Drosophila melanogaster: one gene and its partner. The protein of the gene in region 2 purifies or fractionates together with the protein of the main gene of each other region. This does not show direct contact. Each region holds a gene or a part of one and is shown on either strand. Other genes may lie near its edges. The genes, in order: Arpc3A and qjt.

What was found.
Region 1: the proteins of qjt (region 2) and Arpc3A purify together in Drosophila melanogaster (affinity purification with western blotting, with the first as the bait; one study listed by BioGRID). This does not show direct contact.

The regions. Positions count from the first base shown.
Region 1 is NT_033777.3:15,827,124-15,844,128, forward strand, and holds Arpc3A (Actin-related protein 2/3 complex, subunit 3A), read left to right. Parts: upstream 1-7,524; 5' UTR 7,525-7,642; coding exon 7,643-7,648; intron 7,649-7,789; coding exon 7,790-7,963; intron 7,964-8,073; coding exon 8,074-8,427; 3' UTR 8,428-8,898; downstream 8,899-17,005. Other genes in the region: rec (recombination-defective), read right to left, coding at 3,231-5,494; CG4576 (uncharacterized protein), read left to right, coding at 1-273, 1,105-1,270, 1,399-2,102, 2,167-2,360, 2,425-2,765, 2,828-2,970, 3,042-3,146; CG43318 (uncharacterized protein), read right to left, coding at 5,645-6,160, 6,268-6,270; CG43317 (uncharacterized protein), read right to left, coding at 6,401-6,811, 6,913-7,242; ND-23 (NADH dehydrogenase (ubiquinone) 23 kDa subunit), read right to left, coding at 9,002-9,163, 9,232-9,683, 9,867-9,906; spn-E (spindle E), read left to right, coding at 10,360-10,557, 10,615-10,857, 12,576-13,309, 13,407-14,059, 14,149-14,282, 14,334-14,923, 14,980-15,127, 15,195-16,331 and 3 more; Pbp45 (PSEA-binding protein 45kD), read right to left, coding at 11,198-12,289.
Region 2 is NT_037436.4:17,477,209-17,493,643, forward strand, and holds qjt (quijote), read left to right. Parts: upstream 1-1,887; 5' UTR 1,888-2,043; intron 2,044-2,099; 5' UTR 2,100-2,153; coding exon 2,154-2,855; 3' UTR 2,856-2,933; downstream 2,934-16,435. Other genes in the region: CG13733 (uncharacterized protein), read right to left, coding at 741-1,598; CG6333 (uncharacterized protein), read right to left, coding at 3,037-3,657.

The DNA of each region.
Region 1 (17,005 bases), on a different chromosome or scaffold from region 2:
CCTCTATACGACTTGGATGACTATGATCGTTGCCTCCAGGAATTGAATGGCCAGGCGTCCACTTACTGCTTCGTCCGCGCGGAAGTCCAGCCCGATGAGTCTGTAGCGGCATGGCGGGCAATTGCAGAGATTTCGCAGTACGATCGCCATCACTTCGATCACCGACAGCTCTATTTCGGTCTCTGCCTGCGCGAATGTGAGGCGTCTCTGGCCGGGTTGAATAAAAGCGAACTGGAGGCCCTGCAAGCCGGCCTGCTATCGGAAAATGCAAAGGTAAGGCCACACGGAGGTGTCACCTCATTGGTAGCGATTCAGCTGCGGCTAACGATCGATTTAATTCAATCTTCGAATTCGCTGCTGGGCAGATACAGATACAAATACACATATTTCAAAACCCATCCGCTTGCCGAGGCGTCGGCCGTAATGGTCAATCAACAATCATCGGACACAGAAGCCGGGATAACAACGCCAAAGTTTATTCAACTCGAGCTCCCCGTGAGCTGCACATTATGTGGGCAGTGGCGCAGTAAAGGGGGTTTTAGTTCACATATTTGTCATTGGCATATACAAAGGTTTATATCTGCTTGCTATAAAGAGCTATCATGTTTTAACTTCTTAAATATTCGAGTATGTTTTTAAACAGGTTTATCGTTTTTTGAAAGTGGCCAATTTCAAGGGTCCCTCTCACAACGAACATAAAATGAATCCCATTTCAAAGATCCCCCTTGCAGACGCCTCTGGCTAAATGCGTGATCTGTATCTTCATTACCTATAAATATTGCATAAATTACAGCCGGAAAATCCGCTGATTAAACATCGGATAGCGGGGCAATGGGTGCTGCCAGCAGATGGGAGATGGGGATGGGGAATGGTGTGGCGATGCCATTGATGCAGTCGCCATCAAAATGCATTTACGATGGCTGATTAAACAAAGCGCTTATATTGGCTTAGGCGTTGGCTAAAAATGGAAATGGGCGGTCAGACAGCGAAATTCGATCCAATTCCATCAAATCAAATCGAACTCATTTCTTTCAAGGCCAAGGGCCTGACGTTGACATTTTGGTATTTTAATGATCGCAACATGGTCAATGCAATATTCGGCAGGTGAACGTATATCTGGACTTGTTCTCGATGGAAGCCAATAACCGCCAACGGCACCAGCGCTTGACAAATGCCTGCCTGAACTGGCGTCTGCAGCGTCGTGGATTCGGGGTGCTGGCCAAGAGCGTGGTGGAGTACTGCGATGAGGCGGGACATCAAGTGGAAGATGGTGAGTCACAGATTATATCATCGTGTAAATAATGTTTCTTTGCATTAGCATCCAAAAAGTGTTATGCATTTAATGGCGATGAGGTAATACTAACGACCGATAAAATAAATATTCCTTCTCGGCTTTAGATGCGTGGAACCTGACCTTCTACGGAATCTTGGGCACTCTACTGGTTCTGGCTTGTCTGGGTAGCTTAGTGGATCTGCATCTAAAGCGAAGCCGTCATGATAAAATGCTCAAGGAGCGAGATCACTACAAGACACCGCCCAAGAGCACTGCCCAACAGGTGCTGCTCACCTTTTCGGTGGCCCGCAATTGGTACCGACTTAATCAGGAGCCAAGTGGTAAGATCGGTCGCGAGCTGAGATTTCTCGACTGCTTCAAGTTCTTTGCCATGTTCATGGTGATATTTGCGCACACCAACTGGGTGATTTACGAGAGCGCCATCAGCAATCCGCAGGATCCGGAGCGACTGCTTCACACGGCAGCTGGCACTTTACTCGTTTCGGGATCATTGATCACTGTGACCTTTTTTGTGATCAGTGGTTTGTTGCTTACCATTAACTGGCTGGCCGTTTCACGTTCGCTAGAATCTAAAAAGGACACCTGGAGCTTCGGCCAGTATGCTTTGCTATTTGTCAAGTTTAACATCTTCCGATACATCCGACTGACGGTTCCATATGCCTTTGTATTGCTCATGAGTGGCGTTTACTTTGAGAACGCTGGAGGTCCACTGTGGCGGCACATCTTTGAGCGGGAGCAGTTGGCTTGTCGACGCAACTGGTGGACCAATCTGCTCTACGTCAACAACTTTGTACGCACGGATGAGCGGGTAAGTAATGAGTGCTTTATCTAATTTATCATCTAATCCACTCAAAATTCCATTCGGGATGCAGTGCCTGCTCCAAGGTTGGTATTTGGCAGCGGATACTCATTCCTTTGTGCTCAGCTTGGTGCTGCTGATGCTGGGTCACCGGTTCGTCAGATGGAGCAAACAGCTCTATGCGGGCATTTTGGGTCTTTTTGTGGTGGTGCCAATGGTGCTCACATATGCCATGAACTACTATCCCATTTTTGTACCCACGCCACAGTAAGTGATCGGACTTAAAAACTTTACTACTTGATTACAATCATTCTACCCATCTACCAAACAGAACCCAGAAGGATTCCTTTATCGGAGATCGTCAATTCACCGAATTCTACACGTCGTCCTTTATGAACTTCGGTAGCTATTTCTGTGGAGTCCTGGCCGCTTTGGTTTACGATCAGTTGGCATTGAAGCAATACAAACTACGGGAGTTAAAGAGCTTCCAGCTTCTTTGGTTTACACTTATTCCAGTGGGGATTCTATGGCTGTTTAGTGCTCATCCCATCTTCCAGCACTACTACGTGACGCCGTCGGCCATTTGGGGAGCATTATATGCCGGCCTGCAGCGAAACATCTGGGGCTTCGGGCTGGGAATCTTCATCGTGGGCATGGCCAGCAAAGTGGGATGTAAGTATCAACTGCGAGATATGCTTGGTATATCCTTGGCAAATCTTACTGTTCTTTCACAGGGATTTTCCGTAAGTTCTGCTGCTTGCCCATTTTCCGCATTTTGGGACGCCTCACTTATGGAGCCTTTATCGTCCACCTTCTTGTGGCGAGAATCGTCTTGGCCACAGTGCGGGAGCCCATTTATTTTGGCACGGGCATGATGGTGAGCTCACTTCTGGCATTCAATAGGAATTGGATTTTATGTAACTCAAATTGTTCTCATCTTATCTACAGTTTGCTTTCATCTTTTTTACGGTGACCGTGTCCTATCTCTGCTCCTTCTTGCTGGCCATCTTTCTGGAGCTTCCCGTCTCCTCCTTCCTCAAGCTTATGAGGTAGCCCAATGTCCTAACTTAAAGATTACTTATAACTAGAATAAAAGACATAACTTAATTAAATCCGTCACCAAAAAATTTCACTTACCCTGCGCCAATCTGGCTGGAAACGTCTTCATCGAGATTGCAGCTTCCTTTGAGCTCAAGGAAGTAACGCAGAACAGCATTGCTGGCGTCCTCGTTTAGGACCGGATTTAATTCCTGGCGAGCATAGGACAAGAACTTCTTAATCAGTATGGGTGGGAGCAGGTCCAAGTCCCCCTCCTCCGGAAGTACCTCCAGACGTTTGTCAAGATCATAATCCTGCTGCATAATGCTGTCATTATCGTCCTCCGTTTTGATTGTGTCATCATCTTTTCCCGCTGCCGGCACATTAAGGCTGACCTCGCACATGGAGTCGCTCATTTTGGGCTTAAGAGCATAGCGGGCTGCAATTCTCGCTCGTTTCCTAGCGCCCGCATGGAGAGCCCTTACGTGGGCAGTCAGCGACATATCTCTCTCCGAGGGCTTGTCCAATAATATGTAAACCAAATGGAACTCCCGCAGCAAAGAGGGTGAAATATTAATATTCTGTAGAAGGTAGCGCCCCTCATCGTATTGTCCTCTTTGTGGATTTGCGCACGCTATCACCGAAGGTTGCGCCGGGAATGAGGCAAATGCTCCTGCAAGTGGAAGATTTACTTCCTCTGATTGTAGGCACTGCAACAGTACGGCCTGCTTGGAGGCAAGTTTATCCACATCATCGAGGGTGCAGTGACCGCCTCCACTGGCCATCATCAAGGAACCCGCTTGTAGCACACGCTTGTTACGCCCAGCAAACGTAACACCCAGTTGCTGTGCGGATTGAGCCCCACGTTTTCCACTCACGTGGGCACCACGTTCAGCGATCTGAGCACAACTTTGCAGAATCTTGGTCTTTCCAATTCCGGGATCACCCACCAGGAGCACGTTGATGGCTTCAGTCTCCGCACCTTTCCCGCCGAGAAGGGATAGTAAACAGGCGGCTTTGGGTAGCTCATGTCCGTATACCTCCGGGGCAATGGATTGCACCAGTAGCTTAAAGCTGTTGGGTTCCGCATTGATCATGACAATCGCTTCCAAGTCACGTTCGCTGAACTCCCGCTTGATGCTGCTCGCATCGCGAATGCTGACTGCCTTGAGATAGGGCTGCATCTGGTTGGAGGTGTCTCCAGTGGTGGTATCGTCGCCCAATTCCTGCAGCTTAAGGATGCCAGTTACCACGACCTCCTGTCCGACACGCACAGCATCAACTAGATCATGTCGCAGCTCCACGTCCATTTCAGCAGGCATGCTGGTCTCAAAGTCGTGGACCAAGTTCAAACTGGACTCCTCCACGCGGATAATCTGTCGGATTGAAAGCCTGGTGTATGGGGAACTGCGAAGAGGCACGAATTCGTCACGAGCCACACACTCCGACCGCTTGCATTGATAAGGACGTGGCTGGAAGGTTCCCCGTTGGCGCATGGCAATCTCCATCTGGCAGCGACTGCAGCGAAAGGCTTGCCACGTGAGGCTGTAGCTAGGCTCGCCCACATTGCTCACAAAACCCCGGATGGAAAACAAAGTGTCCACTCGGGAATGGCTTATTCCTTCTATTGATTCCACAGGCACAAAATCATCCGGTCGTGCGTAGATCTTGCGTACCCGTGGGGTTGGAAGGACGTACTGTTCCGGAGTGGACACCATAGCTGTGGTGGAATCATTACAGTCCAGCTGGTGATTGACGACCACAGTGTGCATAGCCAACGACAGGGTTCCTAGCGTGCGAAGCGGGTGCTCACGGATGTCTTCGGACAAACTAGGCCAAACCTCCTTTAGCTGGGCATCTGATTTGATGCCTGCTGCGCAGAGGGGGAAGAATCCCCGATCCCGTATCATCACAAAATCGAAGGTGTGAGGATTACGTTGGTAGTATGCCTCCACGGCCATTATCCTTGTGGCCAGTTCGTTGCCCTCCTCGTATTTCTCGCGCAAGAAGTACAGTCGCCAGCCGGAATAAGCCCGTGGATTATCCACCGCAATGCTCTGCACCTGGAGCCCGTCTTCTGGTGCGGCATAGTTTTCCGGCCGCAGAAAGCTGCAGTCCAAGTGAGCATTGCGTCCTCGCTTGCCGGCTGTGCGGCTCCAGCCCCTGGGTTGCCGAGTTGCAGGCGGAACAGAAGGAGCGTCTGGTGCTCCAGGTTCCCCTTGGTTGGGTTGTCGATTGCCTCCGGCTGGGATCACACGTCCATTGCGCCGAAAGTAGAAGTACGGACGGTAGGCTCCGCCTCCGCGACCACGACCACGCACAAATCGCGATGGGGCGCCCCCCCGGGAAAGCGTTGGATTCATTTCAGCTGGGGAAAGTTTACAAATTTGCCCGCTTTTAAATAGAGATGATACCTATATTACAAATGACATGAAATATCGATAACGATCTTTGGCTAAGATATTGAACCCTTAACGATTTTATATTTAAACTTATAAATCGATGTAATAAAATTATTTTGGAATTATTTCGGCGGACACTTGTGATATCTTCGATTCTTGCTTCAGTATGCTCAGCTGGGCGGGAAGGTAGTGTTCAAATACACCCGATAGCTTCGACTTGACCTCACGAAATGTTTCCAACACTTTTATCTCCTCGTTCTCATCAGTGGGCTGCACGGCCTTTAGTTCATGTAGTAATTCGGTGCAGCCGTCGAGGAGCATCACCTGCTTCAGGTGAAGCTTAAGCAGCTCCTGCTGAATTGTCTTGATGCACTGGATTTGTTGGTCCATGCGCAGTGGAATCGTGGAAAGAGCCAACATTTGCTCCATATGCTTTTTATCCTTCACGAACATTTTAGCAGCACTTTCCATGGCTTCAGCAGGTTTTGCTTCAATCTCCTTGGGATCTTTGTGCTTTTTATCCTCCACGATCGTTTTATGAATAATTTCCATGTTTTCAGCAGGTTTTGCTTCAATCTCCTTGGGATCTTTAATGCACGGAGCTTCCGTCTCGGTTTTAGCTGGAATCTGTAAGGGAAATTAGGGCTTACTAACTAACTAGCCTTAGAAATTGACAGCTATCGCCTTTTTTTTTGGTTATCTACAGCTTTGTATTTATTTATTTTTTTTTTTACCATTTTGTTCTCTGCTGAAAAGTTTTAGAGACCGTATGCAACCAATGATAAAACTGAATAGCAGATCGAATACTAAGTCAAAGCCTCCTTTTAATAAGAAACTCATAGTTTTTTACAGAACATTCAGAGCGATCTAGGGTTCTGGTTTCTGGTCACCTTTTTTCGGGAAAAGTGAACTCAGATTGACGGGACAGTTGTCCAGGCGGGCCAGTTGCTTAACCATGTCATCCAGGAGCAGGCTGTTCCGCTCGTCGGAACCCTGGATGAGCCCGTAGGCCTCTGCGTTGGCGATTCGGTGCTGCAGAAGCGGCATGTAGGGTCCATTGAAATGCGGCTGTCCATTGGCCAATTCCGGCGGAGGCTTAGCAGTGGGAATAAAGTCCGTTTCCGACTTTGGGGACCGGCAAGTCGGCTGGTTTGGCCGAAACTTTGGAGTCCTATAGCCCAACTTTCGCTTCTTTTCCGCCTGCAAGTGATTTTCGCTCACGTCGTCGGACTCGTAATGATGGTTATAAAACCGGATGCCGTATATTGCGGGCTTTGGCTAAATTAGGTAGATTTATCTTTAGATAAATTAATATTTTGTGTTATAGATAGTGTTGATGGTTAGAAACTGAGACATATCTCCAAATCTCCAATACTCACAGCTCTCTTGCGCTCCTCATCGTAGCCATCGTCATCCGAATCATCATCCTGTTCATCATTGTCCATTTCAATGGGAATCCGGTCACTGGTCACCGGCACCTGGGGCACGAATTCTGAGGCACTTGCTCGGAGTCCATTAGGGGAGACCGCGGTCGGCGGAGAAGCAGAAGCCGAAGTCGGAGGAGTAACGGCTGGAGTCACCTCATTGCTCATGGACTCTAGTTCCAGACATAAACGTTTGTAGGCCATCGTGGTTCTTTCCAAGTGGTTGAGATCCAATTTGCCAGCGATATGGGCAACGTTCTGGAGGAATTTTTTACTTTCATCCATAAAGAGCGAAGTCACAATCAAATTCCTTTGTGGATGGCGCAAACATTAAAAATTTTAAACATTTAACACAAACTTGATTTGTTTAGCATTCGATGTTTCGATTCGATTTCTGACAGAAAATCTGGAACTGTCAAACATATTTAAATTGGTTGATGTACAACAATTTATAAAAAAATATTAATAACGAACTAAAAAACTTGTAGTATTTAATGGAATTGTCCACAATTTTAAAAATTTAGCTCAGTGTGACCATTTCGGTCGCGACTTATCGGTCTTGTCGATAAATTAGAGCTGCAAAATTTGTAAACAGTGGACGCCTATAATTAAAAACAATATTTAACATCGAAAAAATAACGTTTTCAACGTTAATTTAAATAATTAATTTAAAATACAATTCAACATGCCGGTTAGTGGATACTTGCGCATCAAAGGCAAACGAGTTGGCGTTGAGATATTCCCAGTTCTTTTCACCTGCTTTCGTGACCCCCTGCCAAGCATAAAAATTTCCAAGGGAAAAGGCAATCTTGTAAATTAACTATGCTTTCAGGCCTACCACTCGCAGATCAAGGAAGTGCGCCAGCAGGTGGGCAACATGGCCATCCTGCCGCTGAGGACGCAGGTGCGCGGGCCAGCGCCCAGTGCGAATATTGAGAGCGACATCATTGATGAGTCACTGTACTACTTCAAAGCCAATGTCTTCTTTCGCACGTACGAAATCAAGGTGAGGCCGTAATCCGGGATTCAGAACCATTACCTGGTCACGTGATGGTCATATTGAATCCTTATGCTACTTGCTACTTGAATTCACAAACTATGTTTTACCATTTTCAGTCCGACGTGGATCGCGTGCTCATCTATGTGACGCTCTACATAACAGAGTGCCTCAAGAAGCTCAATCGCTCCACGAGCAAGGCCCAGGGACAGCAGGACATGTACAGCCTGGCCATCTCCAAGTTCGACATTCCCGGCGATGCTGGCTTCCCATTGAACGCCGTCTATGCCAAGCCGCAAACGGCCCAGGATGCGGATCTGATGCGCCAGTACCTGCTGCAGCTGCGCCACGAAACCGGCAACCGGGTACTGGAGAAGGTCTTCAACACCGAGGATGGCAAGCCCAATAAATGGTGGACCTGCTTCGCGAAGAAAAAGTTCATGGAGAAGAGTCTGGCTGGACCTGGACAATAAACAGCTATCCACAATATCTGGTATCTTGTTTTGCTTCTACGACGGGTAAAAATACCCTTCAATTAAGTTTTACTCGCAGCGTGGTCCTAATTTGCAGTATCACTGCCAACGTGTCACAATTAATTAAATTCATTAACCACTAAATAAATTATTTGAATTTGTAAGCCTTTCTGTTTTAATTAATTTATGTAAATTCTTTTTACAAAATTAACGTGGATAAAACTGCAAGTAACTTTCATAAATAATATCTGTTTCTAATAACTGACCAGCAAATGGAAGTTATTGCCTATAATTTGTGTAATCAAAATCGGAATAGTAAAGTATTAACTAAGTTTCATTTATTTGTAGTCGCTCCGTCATTGGAAAAAATGCTTTCTATTGGCCTGTTAATTAAATAAACTTTGTCATCTGTCGAATACAACGTGGAACTCTTTGAATATAAATAATTTATATTTATTAGGCCAGTTGAGTAATTAAAAAAAATACAACTGACTTTCGCTTAAGACGAAGCCACAGCAACGATCTTTAATTGGAAAATCGTTCTAAACAAGGAATTCTAGGGGTACAAGCAACTTTAACGATAGAGATGGTCGGCCTGCAAGTTAGAGGCAATCTCGGACTCCCACTTGTCGCCGTTGCAGAGAAGCTTCTCCTTGTTGTACAGCAGCTCCTCGTGCGTCTCCGTGGAGAACTCGAAGTTGGGTCCCTCGACGATGGCGTCCACGGGACAGGCTTCCTACGCGGGGGGACAAAAAGATGCAATTAGTTTCTAGTAAATTGTGGCGCCACTTTGCTCCTCCTCACCTGACAGAATCCGCAGTAGATGCACTTGGTCATGTCGATATCGTAGCGTGTGGTACGTCTGCTGCCATCCGCGCGCTCCTCCGCTTCGATGGTGATCGCCTGTGCGGGGCAAATAGCCTCGCATAGCTTGCAAGCGATGCAGCGCTCCTCTCCACTGGGATAACGACGAAGGGCATGTTCTCCGCGGAATCGCGGGCTCAGTGGTCCCTTTTCAAAGGGATAGTTGATAGTGGCCGGTTCCTTGAAGATGTGCGCCAGGGTGACGGCAAATCCACGTAAGAGTTCACCGAAGAACATGGTGGATGCAGCACGGTCCGTGATGTCGGCAAACTCCATGCTCAGTTCCTTGTTGTTTACATACACATAGCCCTTGGGAACCTCGACGATATCTTTGGGTTCTGCTCGCTGGGCGGCCAGCAGCCGGGCTCCATGGCTGCCAAACAGGCGCTGTCCTGTGGGGAGAACATTTTACCATTAAATAACATGCTTAAGTCGAAAAGTTATACTGAATTAAGCGAGTTTAGACTTTTGTTTTGGTATGACATAAGCTTACATAACCTCACTCGCCGCGATTTCCACGAAAATGGGAAATTTCCCGGAAAACAACGGATGTGAGGGGATGGGTCGCCACCTACCGTTGCGCGATGCGGTGAAAATTCGCATAGTTAGCGACATTTTTGCGACCAAATTAAACTAAAATTGCCAAAGAAGTTGTTTTGCTATTGAATTTGCCCGAACAAATTAGAGCTGGGTTTCTTTCGATTACCCACATAAATTCAATGCTCAAATATCGTATTCAAATATATCGTAGTTTCTTAATGACATAAACCAAAAATAAAATATGAGATATAAAATATAAATAATGTAACAAAGAATTAAATATTCGTGTAAAAATAATAAATAATATTAACAAATAATCCAGAAAGACTGTGAGAAAAAAAAGAAAACATTTTTTTTATACGAATACCCCTAATAAAAACCTTAAAGCTTCGATAATGGCACTATCGATATAAATTCGCACTTTTACACTTTTCAACATTGACTTTGAAAATCCCCACCACTACAATTTACAGTTTAACTTTTCCCGCTACGCGGAATTGTGAAATTTTTCATTGTTTATGTCGGAAAATGGATCAGGAGGTTATGGATTTCTTTGACTTCTCGAAGGAGTTGAAGCGCGTGGCCGCCGCCCCGCAAGGCTACATCAGCAGCGATCCGAGGCTAATGGCCACGAAGTTCAAATCATCCGAAGTGCCCAACCGCGAGTTGATCGGCACCGACTATGTCAGCAAAATCGTCGCCAAGGAAAAGTGTCTCCTGAACGGGGTGAGAACTGGAAGCTTGCGTCAGCACTTCTGTTTGTTTATGTGTAATTCGATCCAGACGCTGCTCAACGAACAGCCTCAAGGCAAACGCATTCGAACGCTGGACGATTTGGACACCGACGATGAGGGGGAAGAGACCGAAATTCGCCGGGATGACGAGTACTACAAGAAGTTCAGATTCAATCTGAATCGCGACAAGAACTTGTCCATCTACGCCAAGCGCGAGGAAATATTGGCGGCCATCAATGCTCATCCGGTAGTCATTATTAAGGGCGAAACAGGATGTGGCAAGACCACGCAGGTGAGCAAAACTTAAATAAAATCCTAACTTTTTTATTAAGTCTATATTTTAATAAAGCCAACGCAAGCGAATTATAATTAAACCTTTTATCCTCGACTTTTGAAATTCAAATCCAAACTAGTCGAGAGTATTTAATATTATATAATAAATAATAATCTTCAATATACTTTTCAACTCTTTATATAAGAATAGCAAAGCCTAGGAAACTTATATCCTATATAGTTATATATCCTATCCTACATACTTAAATACAATGAATATTTTATGTGCAACAGATAAACAAGATCACATCGCGCAAAAATGCTAGTTATTTAATTATGTAAAAGTTTTATAAACTAACTCAAGTATCCAAAATAGCTTTGAGTTCTTCTTCCGTGACCTCCTCGCTTTCACCCACTTCCATTTCCTCGTCGTCACTAAACTCAATCATCTCATACTCTTGCTGCACGTCTGCTGGAAGTTCCCTCTGAAAAACGGTGGCCGAGGACATGCGGCGTTGATAAGTCTCGTTGACCTCCAGCTGCACTTCTAGTTCATCCGCCTGGTTTTGCGGCTCCCGTTCCTCGACGCCGTACATGGCCTTGTTCCGCACCCTCTGGCGCACTTCCAACTGGTTGCCTGTAGATGTTGTGGTACAATTCTCATCTGGAGTACTCTTTCTAGCTCCTAGAACACTTTGGATATCGGCAAAGACTTCTCGCAAATGGCCGAATATTTGAGAGGGCGGCAAAGCGTGCTCATGACCAGCCGCCAATTGCTTCTTTTGGGCATTGTATGCCGCTTCCAGTTCACACAATGGCTGGCTTGCCTGGTCCAGTGCTCGCAGACCCTCCAGTTCGTATGTGAGACTGACGCCGTTCGCACGCTGTTGCTTCTGCATCAAGGCACTCTGCCTCTGTTCCTTGGCACCCGCTACGGTCTCCACACGGTCGTAGTCCACCAGATTGTCCAACCCCTGGCAATAGTCGAGCGCGGTGAAGCGGAAGGCCTGCTCCTGGGTCAGGCGCCACAGCATGTAGGCGATCTGATGAGTGTCCTTCCGCTCCGGACTATCCTTGCGCAGATCTAGAGCGTAGTCTGTTAGTTCTTGCCAAGTGCGCGGTGAGACCTCGATCTTAATAAAGTTGTGCGTGGGCTGCTTGTAGTAGATTACGTAGAGCAGAAAGAAACCTCCGATCCTTTGAGCGCGAGATGCCGGGAAAACGTCCCCGGTGGTGCGTCGGGAGCACGACAGTCGCTTGGCCACATGCAGGGCCGCCAGTGTGGTGGCTATCACCTCTGTGTGGTTCGTCTGGGCAGTGAAGAGGTGCTGCAGCTGCAGTTCTCGCCAGCACCGGCAGAACACCTCGAACTCGCAGTTTTCGCCATCATTAACCAATCGCTGAAATCGTTGCACCAGCTCCCAGCAGTCGTCAAAGATATTCAGCTCCATTCTGAATCTTAATTACGCGAAATATATGCGCATCTCTCATTCAAAAGAGCCTCAAAATATAAACAATAACATTCGCCGGGAATAAGCTTTTACAACACTAGCCGGGGAGTTCATCGATAAATATGTAGTGTTCATAACTGCTTAGCTATTTTCAAAAAAAAAGCGCAAAACTATAAAAACTGTTTGAAAAATGTGTAAAAAATACAATTACATTTTTGTTCTGCTTTGTAAATATTTAGATATTTTCTTATAATTATTATTAGTATTCAATCAATTATTCTTACAGGTGCCCCAATACATTTTGGATGAGGCCTATAAAAGCGGTAAATACTGCAACATTGTGGTGACACAACCCCGGCGCATAGCTGCCATCTCCATAGCGAATAGAGTTTGCCAGGAGCGCGAGTGGCAGCAGAACACGGTGTGCAGCTTCCAGGTGGGCCTGCACCGCCCGAACTCTTTGGAGGACACTCGTCTGTTGTACTGCACCACCGGGGTGCTGCTGAACAATTTGATTAACAACAAGACGTTGACCCACTACACCCACATTGTGCTGGACGAGGTGCATGAAAGAGACCAGAACATGGATTTTCTTCTGATCGTGGTGCGTCGCTTGCTGGCCACGAACTCGCGGCATGTAAAGATTATCCTGATGTCGGCCACCATCGATGCCAAGGAACTGTCCGACTACTTTACCACCACTAACTCAATTCCGCCAGTGATCACCACCAATCATCGACGTAAGCACTCGATCGAGAAGTTCTACCGTGACCAGCTCGGCAGCATTATTTGGAATGAGGAAGATGTGGGACACCAGCAGGTGCCAGAAATCAACAAACACGGTTACAGGGCAGCGGTAAAGATCATAGTGATTATTGACAACATGGAACGGAAGGCTGCAATCCAGTCGCGGCAGAGCTATGACGAGGCCCTGCGCTATGGAGCTGTGCTCATCTTTCTGCCAGGCATCTACGAAATCGACACGATGGCAGAAAATCTTACTTGTATGCTGGAAAACGAGTAAGCATTGTTATCCGTGAGAATTGCTCACTGTACAAATTTTGAAGTAGCTAAAATTGTATCATTATAATTTCCAATCTTTATTGTTTAATTGCAGCCCCAACATTAAGGTCTCTATTGTTCGCTGTTTTTCGTTAATGACACCGGAAAACCAACGGGATGTCTTCAATCCCCCGCCTCCCGGTTTCCGCAAGATCATTCTGACCACAAACATTGCTGAGAGCTCCATCACGGTGCCAGATGTCTCATACGTTATTGACTTTTGTCTTGCCAAAGTAAAGGTAACCGATACGGCTAGCAGCTTCTCTTCGCTCCGCTTAACCTGGGCGTCCAAAGCCAATTGTCGTCAGCGTGCCGGCCGCGTTGGTCGTCTTCGTAGTGGACGCGTTTACCGTATGGTTAATAAACACTTCTATCAGAGGGAAATGCCCGAGTTTGGAATACCAGAAATGTTGCGCTTGCCCTTGCAAAACTCGGTGCTCAAGGCCAAAGTGCTGAATATGGGATCACCGGTGGAAATCTTGGCATTGGCTCTATCTCCGCCGAATCTGTCGGACATACACAATACAATATTGCTTCTGAAAGAGGTGGGTGCTCTGTACTTAACAGTAGACGGCATCTACGACCCGTTGGATGGCGATCTTACCTACTGGGGCACAATCATGTCTCGGCTGCCGTTGGACACACGTCAGTCCCGGCTTATCATATTGGGTTATATTTTTAACATGCTCGAAGAAGCTATTATTATAGGTAAGCGGGCAACAGTAGTTAAGCTTTAGGATAACGGGGGGAATATTCTTTGTCTTGCATTAATGATTTTTTTTTTAAATATGTTGTAGCTGCTGGCTTATCGACGCCTGGCTTGTTTGCGCACGAAGGTGGTAGGTCTCAATTAGGCGATTCATTTTGGATGCACTATATCTTCTCCGATGGATCTGGCTCCGACTTGGTGGCCATTTGGCGCGTGTATCTGGTAAGTTATGCGATGCATTACTAATAGCGTAATAACTTGTTTCTTCGGCAGACATATTTGAACATTGTGGAAAATGGTCACGACCAGGAGTCTGCTATCCGTTGGGCCAAACGTTTCCACGTCTCCTTGCGGTCACTTAAGGAGATACACTTGTTGGTGCAGGAACTGCGTGTGCGATGCACGCATCTCGGTCTGATTCCGTTTCCTGTTAATCCTAACCAAATGATGGACGATCGTGAAAAAGCGATCATGCTCAAAGTGATCATTGCAGGTGCCTTCTACCCAAACTACTTTACGCGTTCCAAAGAGTCGTGTGCAGACACAGATCGCAATATATACCAGACAATATCGGGCCACGATCCCTGCCGCACCGTATATTTTACCAATTTTAAGCCTGCCTACATGGGCGAGTTGTACACTAGGCGCATTAAGGAGCTATTTCAGGAGGTCAGGATTCCGCCGGAAAACATGGACGTTACTTTTCAAGAGGGTTCGCAAAAGGTCTTTGTCACTTTCAAACAGGATGACTGGATTGAAGGTTCATCTAAGTATGTTCCTGTGTCGGGCAGAGTTCAAAGTGAGGTGTACAAGGCAGTTATGATGCGACAAAATCGTGTCGAACGGCCAATCCACATAATGAAGTGAGTTATCAAGGCTTTTACTATCGATTATGAAGCTTATGTTTAATCATTTACAGTCCGAGTGCATTTATGAGCTACGTACAGCAGCGAGGGATTGGAGATGTGATTGAGGGCCGTTGGATTCCACCCACAAAGCCTTTAAACGTCGAGCTTCTTGCGCTGCCATCTGTCTTTGACAAAACTATTTCAGGGTCGATTACTTGCGTAAGCTGCTGCACCACACAAATCTAGAGAATTTCAAAGTATTTTTTTTATTTTTCCTATCTTACAGATCGTCAACTGTGGCAAGTTCTTTTTTCAACCCCAATCTTTTGAAGAGTGCATTCGAAATATGTCTGAAATTTTCAATGCTCCACAGCAACTAAGAAATTACGTAACTAACGCGAGTGCCATCGCAAAGGGCATGATGGTGTTGGCCAAACGCGATAGTTATTTCCAGCGCGCCACAGTGATCCGGCCAGAGAATCAGAGCAATCGCCAACCAATGTTCTACGTTCGCTTCATCGACTATGGTAATTGCACTTTGCTGCCCATGCAGCTAATGCGTTTGATGCCGAGAGAGCTAACTGAACAGTACGGCGACCTTCCGCCACGTGTTTTTGAGTGCAGGCTGGCAATGGTTCAGCCCTCTTCAGTGGTCAGTGGAAACAATAGGTGGTCCACCGCGGCTAATGATATGCTCAAGACAGTGGCCCAATGCGGTCTAATCGATATTGAGGTGTATTCGCTTTTCAATAATGTAGCAGCTGTTCTCATTCATATGAGAGATGGCATAATCAACGATAAGCTAGTAGAGCTTATGTTGTGCCGTCGATCCGACGAAGATTATATGTCTAGAAAAGATCATGATTTCCGTTTGCGACGTCAAGAATCTGCCCGGAACTTGAGCACGGCGCAGCGTCAACAGATCAATGAGGAATATCTGCGATCCTGTCAGCTGCCGCAAGACCACGATCTACCACCGCCTCCGCTGGAAAAGTGCAAGACCGTTGTAATGTTGAAAGGACCCAACAGTCCTTTGGAATGTACTATGCGATCCATTACTCGTGTGGGCTTAAGTAAACGGGTGAATATAGACCATTTGTCCGTTAATGCACTTCTCCTGGATGCTGATCCTCAAGATCACCACGATCATTTGATAGTGGCCCACGAAATCGCGGAGAGTAGAAACGGGCAGACACTGACAGCCCGTGGAACCACCCTGATGCCCAATGTGCAGGGATTCGGTGCTCTAATGGTTATGCTATTTAGTCCCACTATGCAACTTAAATGCAATAAAGAAGGCACATCATATGTCTCTGTTCTGGGAGGATTGGGTTGTGACCCGGACACAAACGAGCCCTACTTCGCAGAGCATGACGTGTTGATTAATCTGGATGTCAACATTCTCGAAGATGATGTGATTTTGGTGAGCACGCATAGTACGAATATATACAGAATTGCATTAATTTTCTGATATTTATTTTAGATTAATCAAATTCGCTACTATATAGATAGTGTCTTCTTCAACTTTAAGGAAGAAAACAATCCAGCTGTTAGCGTAAATGAACGTGTTTCTATATACACTCAGCTGCGTAGCCTTATAAATAGGTAAGATTGCTGCGCTTAAAGTCATGCTAATTAAATGATTTCACTAAATTTGATTTCGCAGGCTCCTTTGCAAGGATCGTAGATATATCGAAAGAAATATGAGCAATGCGGATTTTGAATGGGAAACCAATCCCGAACTACCACTGCCGAATGAACCTTTTGGCAAGAGGGCCATATTTCCGATGCACTCACTTACTGAGCTCCAAGAGGAAGACACGGGTCGCTTGGTGCAACTGAGAGAGAACTGCAGCATGTTGCACAAATGGCGCAACTTGTAAGACTGGTGCTTGTTTACAAGAATATATTGCATTACTTATATTTTAACTTATATTTTTAGCGAAGGCACTTTACCCCATATGACTTGCAAACTGTGCAATCAGTTGTTGGAATCGGTTCCCCAGCTCCGTTTGCATCTCCTGACCATATTGCATCGTGATCGTGAAAAGCAAATCGACTATTGCAACCAATAAGAATGGTTACATCGTTTAATAT
Region 2 (16,435 bases):
TTGATTGCAGGGCTAGAAATAGCAGCACTACCTTTAAGCCCTCGGATAAGCCACTGAGACAAGTCTACCTATTCTTCTGATTAGTGTTGCTTATACGAACATGAAGGATCCCATAAATATTCTTAAACATCAACTGATAGTCCTGCAACTGTCTAATCCTTCATATAGCCTGAAAATCTACCTAACTTCACAGCTTACTAATATAAACAAAAAAGTTACATCTTTAGTAGTTTATTATTAGTTTATAATAATCAGAGAACATATGCATTTCTTAGAAATTTCCGTGAATAAATGACCATTATTACAAGCACAACTTACGCATTAAACAATAATAATTGATTGATTAATACATATTCATATGTATTAATTACATCATCGGATCATTCAAACTTTCCCAACAAATGCAGTTAAGCTATTGCTTACCACACAAAATAAATCAAAATAAAGCCATCCATTAAGCCGGATCATTAACCCGATTCCATACTGCTGAATGGATAATCCAGCAGCTTGTCAATGAACTTGTAAATCGGGAGTTCCAGGAACTCCGACGCCCGTCGAAAACGAAGTGCTGACTGAAGTTCCGTTTGGTTAGTTTAATCATTTACTGTTCATAAGAGATCTATATATGTATGTACATAACAATTTTTACAGAGATATTCGGTTACAGAAGAAATTTTGTAAAAAGCTTATCTAAAAACCATAAATTTGAATATCCATCAGATAATGGGTACGAAATCAGATCATCCCTCGACAGTTGACTGTTGCTGGTTACTTAACTTATTTTTCAGCGCAGAGGAGAGGCAGTCCAAGTTATGGGATCGAATTTTTGAAGACCTGGGATTCGCCTCAAAACTTGGTGGCTTATCAGAGCCCGCCGAGCTGGAATCTTCCTTATCGCCTTCGCCAAATTTCCGTTTCTTGCGATGCTTTATTTGATCACTCGGCTTGGGCATTGGTAGCTGTTCGGAAGGGATCGATCTGACATCAGCTTTATCGTCATGGTTGTTGTGAATCTTCTGATGGCGCGTTTTTTTAACTTTCTTCTTCTGGAGACTTGCCATGATACTTATCATTTCCTCCTGCTGGGCTTCGTACCTGGAGATGATGGCGTTCCGGCGCTCCAGCTTGGCGGTGAGGAAACCGACTTGGTTCTTGAGGCTGTCCACTTCCCCAGCCTGCTCGGCAATGGTCTTCATCTCGCGGCGCACCCGCTTCATCTCCTTTTCCACCAGTTCGGCATTCTGCCGGACTTCGGTCATACGTTGCTGGTACTTGTTACGTGTGAGATTGATCTGCTCCTCCAGGAAGGCAATGTACTTCTCCTGCTTAGCCACGTGCTCGTCAAGTTTCTCCAGCTGCTGGCTCAACACTGAACACTGCTCGGCTCCACCGCACTCCCGCTCATTCCGATTCGATTGAGCTGCGGCTAGTTCGCTCTGTAGAAGCTGGATCTCCTGTTCCATACGCGCCTGCAGAACCACCTGCTCCTGCCGATACTTACGATGTTGGTTGTGCTTGGAGCGCAGCGAGGACACCTCGCTCCGCAGGAGAACCACCTCGTTCTCCAATCGGGCTTTGGCTCGATCGTGGTATGGCATCGCGCTGGACGAATGAAATTTTGGTAGTCCAAAACACACGGCTTGTCTATTGGAAAATTGCTTCAAGATTGGGGTGTCTATTGGGATTTTGAAGGCATTCAGTGGGGAATCCGAGATCTGACATTTAAAAACTTAAATAAAACGTTGTTATGCAAGCATGCTCCGGTAATTGAAATTTTTTTTGATTACGCAATTCAATGGCAACCTTCGATATTTGTTCCCCTGTAAATAAGATCTGATTTGATATAAAAAAAAGGCATTTACTTTTTATTTCGACCAGATAAAAGTGCCCGTTTTACAAATCGAAAAATTCGAACGAAACGAAAACCGAAAAATCTGTGCTTTCGATTTAAGATCGATATCGTAAATTACGATAAATTCTCGATGATTCCAGTTTTTAAGCGATTACATTCCACGTGGCATTTGCTTAAAAACCTAATTTCAGGTAAATATCAACGTTATTTATAAATATAAGTCCATTCAAAGACCACTAATTAATAGGCTAGCCTAACTAACCATCAGTCTTGAACATTTGGCTTAAATATTCTGGATAAAATGGAATTCAATTACCTTGCTGATTCCGCACTTTCCACTTTAGTGGAAAACAAAAAGTTCTTCAAGGAAATGTCAGATTTCGTGTCCGATTTCAGCGATGGCGGGAAGATCAAGAAGTTGCTCGAGCAGAGCGTTGAGCAGAGCGTGGAGCACGCCGTGAATGTAGTCCATATGAAGATAAAGCACCAATCGCTCAACAAGGCTATGAATCAGGTCAAAAACTCTAGCGCCACCATCGAGGAGTTCGAGGAAGTCTGGAAGGAACGCTCCAAAGCGGTGGAGCAGAAGCGCATCAATGTCAAGAATCTACACGAGTTCAAGAACTTCGTAAAAGCAGTTGAATCAGCAGCTGGTCAGGCGGGTGCGGAAGTCAATGATCAAGCGAATGGCACCGCCTATGATGAGGACCTTATTATGGAAGACTCCGGCAGCGAGGTCTTCTCGTTCTACGATCCCTGGTCCAAGGCCCTGATAAAGAACCCCATGCGCAACAAAATGTGCGGTCACATCTACGACCGCGACTCGGTGATGCCGATCATAATGGACCGCATTGGCATCCGATGCCCGGTGCTCGGCTGCGCCAACTTGTGCTACATCCAGCCAGATCACCTGGTCCAGGACGCCAATGTCCAGCAAAAGATACAACAGAGCATGTCTAACGCGATCGTGGATGTAACTGCCTCGGAGGAGGACGAGGAATAGAACAGATAATGATTGTGCCCAACTCCGTCCTTGTTGAGAATTAACTTAGTAAAATAAAATAAATTCATTGTTGCCATTATTTTATTTTATAATAACTTGTACTTCTATTAATACACATATATGCTAATTTAAGCTGACCACAAAACCCAGTGAAACCACAATGTACACACAAGAATACGATTCACAACATATTCCTGTACCTACTTGTGTTTTCATTGGACTTCTTGGTCGAATGCGAAATTTTCTTGGAGTGAAGATACTGGATCAGCAATTGGTTGGCCGAAGATTGCGGCTTCACTTGGATGTCGCTCCTTTGCAGCTTCTCCACGGCACCGAGCATGTCCTGGCAGTGGTGGCCAATCCGCTTGGCCCGATCCCTTTCGACACTGGCCAGCACCTTTTGCAGATGCGACTCCAGCATGATGGCATTGTTCTTGATGGTGGACACCTGGCGCTCATAGTGCGCCTTTATTCTTTTCATCTCCCGCTGCTGCTTCTCGATGCGACGGGCCTGCATAAGGATTATGTCCGCCAGGTTTTGGCGATCGGTGTGATGCTGCTCTGCCTTACAATCCTGCTGCACCAGGACACCAAATTCTTCCTCGGAGATCGGACTTCCTATGCGCTTCAGGCTGGAACTCGTATTCCGACCGACAGTTTGTAGAGACTGCAATGGTTTCCTAGATGGCCTGGAGGACATCTTCTGAGTCTTTTGCCGCGTATCTAAAGTTCTTCGGGAATATGGCCTTTCATTCGGCAAACCAGGCAATCCATCGTTGCAAATCCTCACGCCCTTGGTCATTTTAAACAATAATTTAGCCACTCGTGAATTCGTTCTGACTCTTAATTTTATTCGAATTAGTTCAAATTTTGTCGATTAAGTGAGGGCAAACGTTGTTTCACCTCTAAAAATATTTAATGGTTAATTGAACTCTTAAGGCAATTCTGCGTAATAAATAAGCAACTGAACTGTTTACTTTTTTATGATATAAATGTTCGATTATGAATCATGCAACACTCAAATCTCTGCAAATATCCTCAAATTGGCGGAAAGTGAAAAAGTCGATCACTTTTACCCTTTTTTTTGTAACGATACTGACCAACTAATCTCAGTTATTTGAAAGTACTATAAAAACCACAAGCAAAATGACTGCAATTTGATAAACTCAGGTTCAAGGTGGGCTCATTTTTGGCAAGATCTGGTCAGAGTTTTCATGATTGTATGGGTTGAACCAGAGTTGAAAGTGCCACGCCCATCACTTGAGGCGACCAACCACACGCAAATAACCATATATGTATGTACATACATGTATGCATATGAATATTTAAGTAGGTACAACAAATTTGCACTTCTTGTATACTTATCTTAATATCTCTTAAGTAAATTTGGAAATAAGGAAAAATGTTTGAAGTTTCATACATTGCTGTCTTGGTTAGAGTATTCCAAAACCATTGATTTATGTTTTCTCTGCCTTTTGGTAAGCATAATTTGTATATTTTTGGCCGCGATGCCGCACACTTGATAAGGGTTATCGATATGCCCATGGATATATGCATGCATTATGTGCGACTGATCATTATTTGTTTTCTTCCCATAGCCTGTGCATCGCATTCGCAAGTTGTAAATTATTTGGCAGCAGGAAGCGGATTTCGTTTGGTTTTCGGGGTGTGGAAGATGGATGGATGGTGCTGGCCGGCGAAAAAAAAGACATTCTTAATATCCTGAATACTCATAAATTCAAAGTACCCCCTTGAGCCATAATTCAAGCAACTTCCTCGAATAATTCGATTCACAGTCCTTCAACACAATGCCAAGGTCTGGTCGTTTATGTCACCATCACTGCCTTCGGCTTTCTATGCTTCCAGTATATTTCTTAATATGACAAACTTCTTCCCACTTATGCAATTTCCATAAATTCAAGGTCAGCCATACAATAAAAGTCCAGACATCAGATACTATATACAACATACCCGGCACATGTGGACATTCGTCTGGCTACTTTTTCGGCAGCCAAAAGATTGAGGAAGAGTAATTTTTCGCCAGAGATGAGCGAAAACATCTGCGGATCAAATATATACATATATTTTAATAATAATAATTTTAAAATTTTTAATAAATAAAAATGATAAAAATAACTCACATTGATTACGTTTCTAATACAAAGAAATGAAATCTGATAAATCAAGAGCTTTAAATACCATAATGATGTTCATCCAAGAGATTCCAATGATACTTTGCCTAATAATTAAAGTCAAATCAAATTAAAAGTTAAAATCGTTTTGGCAGAAAACTGTTAGTAACGATAGATAGTAGTTGAAATGAGAGATTAATACAAATACATAAAATTGTTATCACTGATATAGTTAATGACAATAGTTAAAAGGCTATAAAAGGGTACAATGTAATTGTGGTACTTCAGATAACAAGGCCTTTGAAAATGTTGATTTTAATTAATTTTAATTTTTAATTTTAATTTAGCCATTGTATGTCTACTATACCAAACAAAACAAGAACTTAATTGGGTTTTTTGTAGTACGAAAAATTATGTGGAACCTTAAACATATAAATAAATTTTATACAACTATGTATAATATTATTTTACAAAAATAGCACAGCATTCTTGTGTAGTGAATCAGCAGGGATAATAAAAACAGTAAAAGATTAATAATGTATTAAATATAAATAATAATTATGAATAGGCAAGGAAACTCCATACTTGTAAATGTATAATTTAATTATTTATTTAATTTGGCTTGCATCAACCAGACTCGCTACTAACTGCCAGCTCTATAAATCCCGCATATAATATATACAAAATTCGGCTTTGAGAGCGACATTCCCTCACACCCCTCCGACCCCTTTGCACATGCCGAAAGATGATATCAAAATGCGAAATCAAAACAAAGACCCAGAATTTCGGCAGACTAACCCAAACAACATAAAAAAAAGGTCCAAACCCGACTAGCATCTAAGCCAAGCACAAAGGAACCACGCAGCAGACAGGGAGCAGACAGGCGAACCCCAAACCCAAACCAGAAGTCCAGGGCCTTTTTCTGTCTCGTTCTTTTTTATATATACTTTTTTTTATAAGCCCCTTAGAAGCGTAGACTTCGGCTAGACGAAATTTGAGATGTCTAAAGGACGAAGGAAAGGCAATCAGAACAGAAAAGAAGGAGGAGCTGTCAAGTGCCATCGTGGAAAAAAAATGGAGAAGCAGACGCAGAGCTTGCTGGATTCGTTCGATTTTGTTTCTATCAATTTCGGTTTAATTGCATTTAATTTGAATTGCAGACATCGAAATCAGGTTATATATTTCGTGTTCGGCTGTGCAGCTTGATTTAATTTGCCTGCTAGACGGCCAAAAATCGACGTAGATATTGCGCAATTTGCTCACCCCGAGAGCAACAATCAAATGCACTCGAAAAGTCAAATAAAAGTGAATTGATTTATGGGCTTTTTGTTTGTTTGCACTAAATATTCTTAGAAAAAATATGGTTACCCGCATAAATCAGAAATAATTACTTGAAAATACCCTCATTTGATAGTATATAATAAAAATAAAAACCGTAGAATCTGAAATTCTTGAAGTCTTGCATTTTATCGAAGATTTCAAATGAAAACTGCTGTTTTTGGCACAGTTTTTCCACCCTCTATTGTATCCTTGCCTCGATTAAGCACTTGCGCATAAATCTGCAGAGGAATCGCCAAAAAGCTGTAGCTTTAGACAAGAATCAAAACATATGAAATATGCAACAGGCCAGACACTTCGGTCGGAAATTTGCTTTGCAAATTCTGCTGGTTTTTGGCGACAAATTTCAATTTAACAATCGAGCACAGACATCCGTTCTGGGTGCAAATCGCAGATATATCTATATCGCAAGATACTGGGAGATACAAACGCGCACCAAGTCGGATGAAAGAACCCTATGCAACATAACTCAGCAAAGCAAACTCAGATTTCCGACAAGGGAACCCCCCAGCTCCTACTCGCTTCCAAAAATTTCTGACTTCGACTCTGAGTTATTAAAGAAACGCCATCGAGTGGGGGAAACAAACACAAAGTTTGTTATGTTGCGCAGGCGCAGCCCAGCAACGCCCTCAAATTCAGGGACTCAACATCGGTGGATCCATATGGGGATGCATATGGGGGAGAATCAGAAGGAGGCATCCGCACAATGTTATTGACCCGTCCCAACGGATCCGTTAGCCATCCTCCGCCCGAATGCCCCGCCCCGCCGCAAAAATTCTTATTAAGATCAATCAGCTAAATGTCGGTTTTATGCTTAATGCTCATGATTCACACGGGCAGAAGAGTCCAGGAATCGAAACTCCATGTGGCAGGAATTCGACTTTCAGCCCCTTAAAACACACCCACTGGTACTCTAATATGATGGTTGGAACTTTCAATTGCAAATTCACTATTTAAGAAATAATTAACAAATTATTGGCTAGACTATAAAAAGCATCTATTCACATTCATTTCGAATTTATTTCTAACTCTTTTAAACATACGTATTATCTTTAAATATTTACATTTCTTATAGCTTAAGAAATCTTGTTGTACTTATTCTGTTAGTTACTATTACCTACTAATTAATTCATATTTAAAGATTAATCTTTATGGTTAGTCTGACAAAAATCAAATGCATATTAAAATAGTATCCGAATAAAGATACTTTCAAGATAATTCTCATTTTCCACTTATCCCAAATGCTAAATTCAAATCTCACGTGTCAGCTAAGTTACCCTTCGCATCGATTCCAACTCCAAAAAAGCATGTCCCAACAACTTGTGTGCGAATATAAATAAAAATGTGCATTTTTGGCAGCCTTTACAAAGTTGTCGGCACGTTTTAATGCTGAGAATTTGAGCAGCTTTTTGCCTTCTTTTCATACTTTTTTGGTTACTTAATTAGTCATGGCAGGCACACTCGGGGAATGGGGCGACTCGGAGTGGCAGAGGCAAGTACCCTTATAACGAATGCAAACTGTATTCGATCGAGGAGTAGAATCGAGTGACTCCGTTCAGATCTTATACAATAGTTTTCCCACCCCCCGCATTTGCTTATCACCACTGACACACATTATAGGCCAGCTCCGACTTTTGATCCGTTCTATTCGCTTCAAACTCATCCAATTCATAAGCGTGCTTCCTGCTTTCAGTCAAGATTAAATAAGAACATTTCCCCATCCAATTCCCCTTTCAGTAGTAAAATATCAAGCTCATTAAAAATTAACAACAATTAGGGAAATCGCTTAAAGAAATAAGAATTAGTAAAAGTAATTGTATGGCAAGCTTTTGCTTTTTCTACTTTTTATTTTATTAGCAATAAAAATACCTAATATTTATAGGAATATATGTAATATACAAGTTCGTCATAAGGAAGCCCCACTGCACATACATACCACACCACATTGTGTGCAACACATATAAATGTGAATGTTTATTCCATCTGACAACGGTTAGCGATAAGCCCAGCGATGTAGTCAATACAACAAACAATAAGGAACACTTTTGGAGTTTCGTTGTCGACTTTGTCATTATTTGCTTGCCGTTTGTTTACAAGCTGAAACATTGACACACACACATCAGCTGCATCAGCTGCTCGTGCCCCATCCCACCCACCAACAAGCCCACTCAGAATGCGTAACCCCCTTCAATGTGGAAGCTCCAACACCCATGGGTTCATCTGCGGGTTATCAGCAGCGGATTGCAACTAGAATTGGTTACAAAAAAAGCGAGCCACCGAAAAGGGAAAACAACATTCATCCGGCGGCGGCGAGAAAAGCAACCGCAAAAGTTCAATGCACATTTCGAGGTGAATTTGTTTTTGAGCTCTCGCTCGTCTCGGCCTGCAATTAATTACACAAATCGAACGAGCGTGTTTAACTTGTTTTCGCGTCTAACATGTCACGTAATTAGCCGTCTAGCTGCGAATCGAGCCGATATCGATGGGAGTTTGCCAAAAGAGTAGCCAATAGATACGGCTGCGCCATCGCCTGCGTTGCACTCAATTTGCTTGATTATTGCGCACAGACTTTGCATGAGTACGCGTATCTGACAGTTTGCCTATCTATCTGGCCGCTTGGCAGACGACCTTGCGCCGAATATGCAATTGATACGTACTTTGCACATATGAATATTAATAGGCGACCAGAGAGTTACTCGAGGAATTTCGCAAACTGAATTCCATTAGCCTCCAAGACTGTAGACTATATTGTAAAGTCAGTTGCACCGACAGACAGCAGATGCATAACCTAAGAGATAACCCTTAATCGCAAAAATCACTTGGTAAACACACAAAGCAACTTATAGAAACTATTTAGCACGTTTTGCAAAAAGTATTCCTTTTTAGTACTTCGCTGGAACTAACTAAAATGTAACGAGCATTAATGTAACGAACATTAAACCACCAAAATTCCTCATCATAAACACTTTTCTTTGAAATGCAAAACTTTCAGGCTTTAAGCTGTTCCTCATGCCTTAGTGAAAATAATGTATAGCTCATAATAAGAAATTAATCAATCGAATCATAGACTTAGAATATCCATCACTTCTCTTCACTTTTTTATATTACCCACCCCACCCAGACGAAAAATCTTGGTTGAGTCATTTGCAGAAAATGTATTTTATTGTACATATGCAACAATAAATATTGTGTACTACATGTGATTCGTAAGTTAAAAAACACTAAGCCAAGCTAAGAGAAAGTCAAACTTGTCGAATTTCAATCAAAATAAAGGTCTTTCTATGAAAGAATTGGTACTTCTATCAAAACCACTTCAATTATTCCCTTATAAACGTAATGTATTCTAATATTCCGGTATGCTGAAAGTTTAACCCAGGTCGATCTGTCTGATCTCCAAAATCCCCTTTCCAATTTGATAAAAGAGCGCACGCCACTGATAACAAACAGAGAGAGCAGCCGAACTAACAGAGCCCTAACAGCGTGGGGGCCTAACAGAGCCCCAACAGCTCCAAACAGCTGCGCTGCCGACGTCGACGTCGGCGCAGGCGAAAAGTTTTGGCTGTTTTCAGTTCGCCAGACCGTTTTGCGTATTCGTATTCGAATTGTTACCGTGTGCGGACTGTGCCGACGGGCAGCGGAACTCAGGCGGTGCAACTGTATGTGTGCGGTGCGTGAGAGTGTGTGTGTGTGAGTGCGAGTGGGGGGCGAGAGAGATAATATGTACATTCGGTGTATATATACACATGTGTATACGTATTATTTCTATACGCCGCGATCAGACAACAACAACAACACCAACAACAATGTGGGTCGTGCATATTGAACATATGCAAATAAAACAAAAACAGATAAATGCCAAAAATCTACTACACTTTTATAACCAAAACACACAGAGCGCGCAGAGAGAGCGGCAATAACGATAACAGCGGAGACAGACCACCCCCACAGCGAAGAGAGAGCGTAAGAGAGTGACGGTTAGAAGTATCTTTGAGATACACTAACACAAAGAGAACGCGTATCTGTATCTGCATCTGTAAATGTATCTTCTGGTCTGTGTTTTTCGACTCCTCGTATAAATTGAGCCGCACTTTGGTTATTCTCGAGTTTTTGCTGCTCAGACGTCGCTGTAAGTGCACGCGTCGCTCGACTTTTCGGTTCCGCTCCGCTCCGAATCGGTTTCGTTTTCGGTTCCCAATACCTCCAATATTCCCTGAAAGATACCTGTGTCCAAGAACCCAGTTGAATCCACACATTTTCGTCGTGCAAGTCACAGAAAAAAATTATTAAATTTCTAAACGCTCAATACAAATATTTTCGCACACTATAAAAATATTAAAAAAAAAAAAACTGGTTGACAAATTTGTCTGATCAAAAACCTAAAGAAACTTGTACGAAAACGAATAAAACTAATAACATATTAAATAATCTCGTTTTTGAAGTTCATTAAAACCACACTTAATCAATAAATACATCATTGTTAAGATCCTCAGACCATTTTAACAAAAAATTAAAGTGCCAATTCCATTTTCAGTGAGTGCTTGATAAATTTGTTGTATTGAAACCCAACCGCAAATACAATTTTCAATTGGCTGAGTGCGTGTCTTCAACGCACAAACATACGAATATAGCATTTAATATTGTTCATTATGTGTGCAATTAAATAAAAAAAATTGTGTGTGAAATAACAGAAAAACGAGTGCGGCGAACAGAGGCAGCAACAAATTAAACGCGTAAATTGCGTAGCAAATTCTGAATGAAAAAATTCAACAAAACCAGAAAGCGAAACAGGAGCGATAAGCGTAAGTACAGCTTTAATAAATAAATTGTATATGTTCATAAAATGACAACTTTTTGTGACAACTTAAGAACTTAGAGTTGGATGGCAATTTAGGTTTGTCAATAATAGAGTATAAGAGTATAAGAGCTTTGCTTAAGTGAATATTACTTAGAACCCCAATTAACAATTACTTCAACTTGCATATATATAGAATTTGTTTATTTGAAAATGTGTATTTCCCAAAAACAATTTTTGTATAATGCATTTAAGTCTTGTGGCGAAATAAAATTTCAAAGAGAACGATCAGTGCCAAACAAACATGCAGAACCAGAAATAAGCTCAAAATTCATGGAATAACCTGATTTGGTTTCTTTTCATTTAATTGGGCTAAAGAAATTTCCCTTTTCAATGCTTGCCCACAAGAGAAATGGAAAGAACGAAGCATTCTCTGATTGATGTGGGGAAAACAAAAACAGAAACCCCGAAAAGATATTTCGAAACAAAATAGAGAGGGGCAGACGATGTCTAAGCATTTATCTTTTGGTTCTTCGACGCGGTTCTTGTTATTTTTCTGTTTTCGAAGGGGGGGACTATTCGGGCGCCAGAGAAAGTGAAACATGTAATTTTTTGTTGGAAGGCCTACAAAAATCATACGCCGTATTGAGTGAAATCGTAATGGGCTAAGAAATTTCTTAAATACGAAGGTTAAAAGGGGGCAGAGCAATCAGAAAGCGCACAATACACACTCGGAAATAATGATAAGACGCGCGACGGAGAAGAGACCGGCCAAAGAATACGAAACACACTCCATTTCTCTGTCTTTTCTGCCTGCTTTACTCGGTTCCCGGGTAATTACATACATGCCGTAAAACCAAAATAAATACGCACAGATAAAGATGCACAGATGCAGATACAGATACCGGGTTGGGATGGGTTGGGTTCGGATGGGCTTTTTTCCCGCATTCTTTTTGTGTCCTCGCAAAACGAAAGCCGAATATCGGCGAAATGCATTAAGGCCGAACAAAAGCAAAAACGAAAACAGTCAATAAACGCTGTTTAATCAAATGTAAATGTTTATACCGCACCGCAACTATCGACTCAGAATTACCGACTTTCAGAGCGTCAGAGTTTCACTTTTGTACCTCAATCATATGAGTGTTTGTTCTGGCCAGAAACCAGCAAGAAACACTCTTTTCCGTCTGACCCACATCGGGTTCGTTATCACCGATTTTTATTATCCATTTATATATATTTGCTTGATCGCATTGAATACGTACACATTTACAGAGCCGTTTATTTTTTGGATTTCAAAATTAAACACTTAAAACGACGTTAACACACAGCAGGAAACGCATCTGAAAGTGACAGAGAAATCACTTTATTCTTTCTCGAATTGAAGTTATTTTTTTCGCAGCAAAATTAAAAATTCATGAAGTTACATTATTTTGCTCAGGTTCATAGAGAAAGTCAAATGAGTGCTACAATTTGAAATAAATTAATTCACTTCATTGTGGCTTCTTCCATTTCATTTTTGACTTCTATGTTTGGTTTACCTAAAAAATATGTTTAATTAATAGGTTTGTATATAAAATATACTACAATAATACGTATATAGTGCAACAGCTAAACTTAAAGCTAATGATTGTGTAAACATTAGATTAACAGAAATTTTCATTTAAATGGTTAAAATACCCATTTATGGTGTTTCCCATAACCAAAGTTTCGGAGCTAACTTTGTCTACCTCGCCATTCCCATATTTTTCCATTGTTTCCTTTTAACTTCATCGCCTCCGCCGACCAATAAATGATCAATGGCCCAAAGCATTTCGATTTCAGCCAAACTCATTTAATTTGTTTTTTGATTCCGCTCTTTTTTTCGCCATGCGCCCCAAGTCCAGAAAAATAAAGAAAGATACAAACAAAAACTGGGAAAGAACTACAAAATTCACCTGTAATAACGTCGCAGAAAATGAAGAAATCGGTTGAGAAGCGGCAGACAAAAACACGAATCGAGTAGAAGTGAGAAGACGAGCTACAGATGGAGATGAGAAAAAAGTTGGGGAACTTGAGAGAACAGACCCGAAATCACAAACCAGATTTTCTACTAATTTAAATTCTTGGCATACAAAATATTCTAAAAAAAAAATATATAACAAAAATGAACAAAAGCGAAAAAAAGACAATAACAAAACAAAGTTTTCTGTATTGATTAACGAAACGAAGCGAAAATGGTTTTATTGTCCAAATATTGGCAGACAGTTTCACATAGATCGCACGTATATATCTATATACCACCTTATATTACACCCATTACATATCCATCCTTTAGAACTTCCGTTTCCTCGGAACTCTCTTCGCTTCTGATGGATTGACATTTGTTTTATCTGCCTGACGTTTAAAATAAATTTCTTGGCCAAGAGAGCGGGGTAAAAAACACATTTACTCATCGTTGACACAAAGGAAATTTTCAAGAAGTTTAGTCACTGTATATCGATTTTTACTGGCTCGATATTGCTGTATTCGTTTGCCAGAGCACGTGTAAAGTTGTACACAAAAATAAGTCTTATTCACAAGCCCAAGCTGATAATTTTATATGGTGCTGTATGTATTTGGCATTATGCTAATCAACTGGAGAAACAAATACGTACAGCCAAATCGTCATTAATTATGCATTTATTTTGAGCGTCTCAGGCCGCTGGCTGCGGCCACATTTGATATGAAAACCTCGATTCGCATTTCGAGAAACTGAAAGTTGGCCTAAAAACACAGTTAGGAATTGGCCCTGGCCATGCATTGTCGTTGAGCTGGGCTGGGGTCGTGTTTACCGCCTTAGTCAACTAACTTTAGTCGCCACTATCAGCCAGATGTTGGCCTTACATTATGAATAACTCAAACGGATTTAGCAGTAGTCCCAAAAGATACAGAAAATGCATGCAATGTATCTTGCTAATTTTCTCACTTTAAGAACTGAAATAAGGGATAGTACTCATCGTATGATTACAAGATTATTTCTAACGGAAGCATATTTGTGCAAATGCACAAACTAAGTAGGATGAACAACAGACAATGCTTAATAAAACACACTTCATCCAGAGCAGACATATGTATCTTTTCAAATGCTGAACTTGTCTTCGAAATCATGTGCTCGACACTCCCCAGACCACTCGAACAGCCCCGATTCCCCATGCCAATCACGAATATACATATGAGATGGATTCCCACATTCTCCAGCGACACGCCCTCTCTCTTTGGACGGACAAAAGCAGCCCCACTCGAGATGTATTTGTATATCGGGGACTGGATGCTGGAGCTGGATGGCAACCGTTTGCGAGCGATTAAGGAACCAGAAATCGCACTTGACTTGCTCGTAGCCCCAAAGCCGGGCTGACATACAAAAGAGCCATTGAAGAGCAGCCTAGAAGATGGCAAGCAGCCAGTGGAAGCGGCCAAGAGGAAGACGAATCACGATCATCAGCGGCAATTACCGCACTGTAACTACGCAGCATCCGCAACAACAACCACAATGTAAGCGCGATGCGTGCAGAGTCAAGCAAAAAGTAAAAGAGATTCACATAGATACACAAGAAGCGGGTCTCCAGTTGGAGCCCGTGCTCCTCCTTGCTCCACCCCGGGAATCCGGACTCCCTCCAACTGGAAGCTTGTTTGGCTGCTCGCTCCGACGCGTCTTTAGCAAGTGATTTCAATTTAATTGACAGTCCTTGAACTTGACTTAAACGCAACGCAACGCAACGCACAACACAACACAGCACAGCAACCATAATAATAAAAACACCACAAGCATCCCCATCTCTTCACTTCACTCTCGATTCGCCATTCTTCCAAGTATCCAAAGTTCCTCCTCTTTGCGGGGTCTTTCGATTTTAGATTTCATTAAATTGAAATTAATGGTTACGTTTTTGATGTTTTGCAGTTTAAGCACTTATAGATATTTATGATAATGCGCTTAGGTAACTGAATGGATAATCAAAATAATATTAAAGGTTTTACAGTCCAGACGATTTAAAAAGCTCTAAAAAGTATAATCAAAAGTATATATAAACATATATTTATGCAAAAGTAAAAAAACAGGTTCATATATGCCTAATTCAAAAACTACACAATTAATATTCAAAGAAATATTTGCTAATACATCGATAGAAAGTTATTTCATCGGGGGTTTCTTAAGATATAAGAAAAAATCCATTTGTGAGCATCAATTTACGTGCTGAACTCATAAATAAAACACTAATTTGTGTAGCCTAATTTTAGATATTCCGCAGATAAGCAAACTATTTTTAACCAAAGTTTTAATAATCTAATCAACTCTAAATGACATATATCTATTTATAGAATTATAAAACTGTTTATGTCCTTGAATATAAATGAATTTTGACGAATTCACCATGGAACTGGGTCGATTGCTTTCTTGAGAAATTTCTCAAATTGAATTCTTTAAATTTAAGAGGGACTCTGGAGTTCGCTGTGGCCAACTGATATTACCGCCCTTGTCCCTCTTCTCGCTCATTGTAATCTGCATTTTCCTCCTTCCTTTGTTGACAAAGCTGAAGAGCAAAAAAAAAACCACACAAAAAGGGGCAGCCGCAAAAAGTTGACCATTTGCGATTTCGGCACACAGTATTTTACGGCTCTGTCGTCATATTTTTTGGCAAATAAATCTTTTTAAAACAACAAGCGAAACACAGTCACATATGTACATAAGAGCGACGGATATACAATATATACAATTATATGTATATATACGAGTATAAACGCATTTGTCTATATAAAATCGTATCATCGCCGCATATATAATTTATTTTGAAAGCGTGCGTACGCCACGCATTTTTTGCCGCCCTGTTTTTTTTTTTTGTTTTTTTTTTGTGCCTAGACAAATGGATGTCCAAGGGGCAGACACAGCGATATATTCCATATAGACTTTCTTTCATTCAATGAATTTTGATATTTTCGGGCTTAATTGTTTTTTCCAGCTGAGAGCTGAGAGGCCGCCGAATTCTCGAACAGATCTATAAAATTTTACAATTATGACTCGACAACTTCTTGGCTATCGACACGTGTCGCTGAAGTATTGTATCTTTTCCACCGTGCTTCTTTGCCCATTTCGGTTTCTACTCCGCATTGTGTATACGCCCCGTGGGCGTTGGACTGAGCTTGGTGAGATAAATAGCCACAGGTGACAAAAGATGTAAATGCACAACTTGATATTCAATAGATAAGGCGGCAGCAGTCCGCTGAAGTAAATGAAAGAAACACGGAGCCGCAGAAGCGCTACGTACCCATGCAAAAACTTTCACCCGCAAATGATCTAGGGGCCG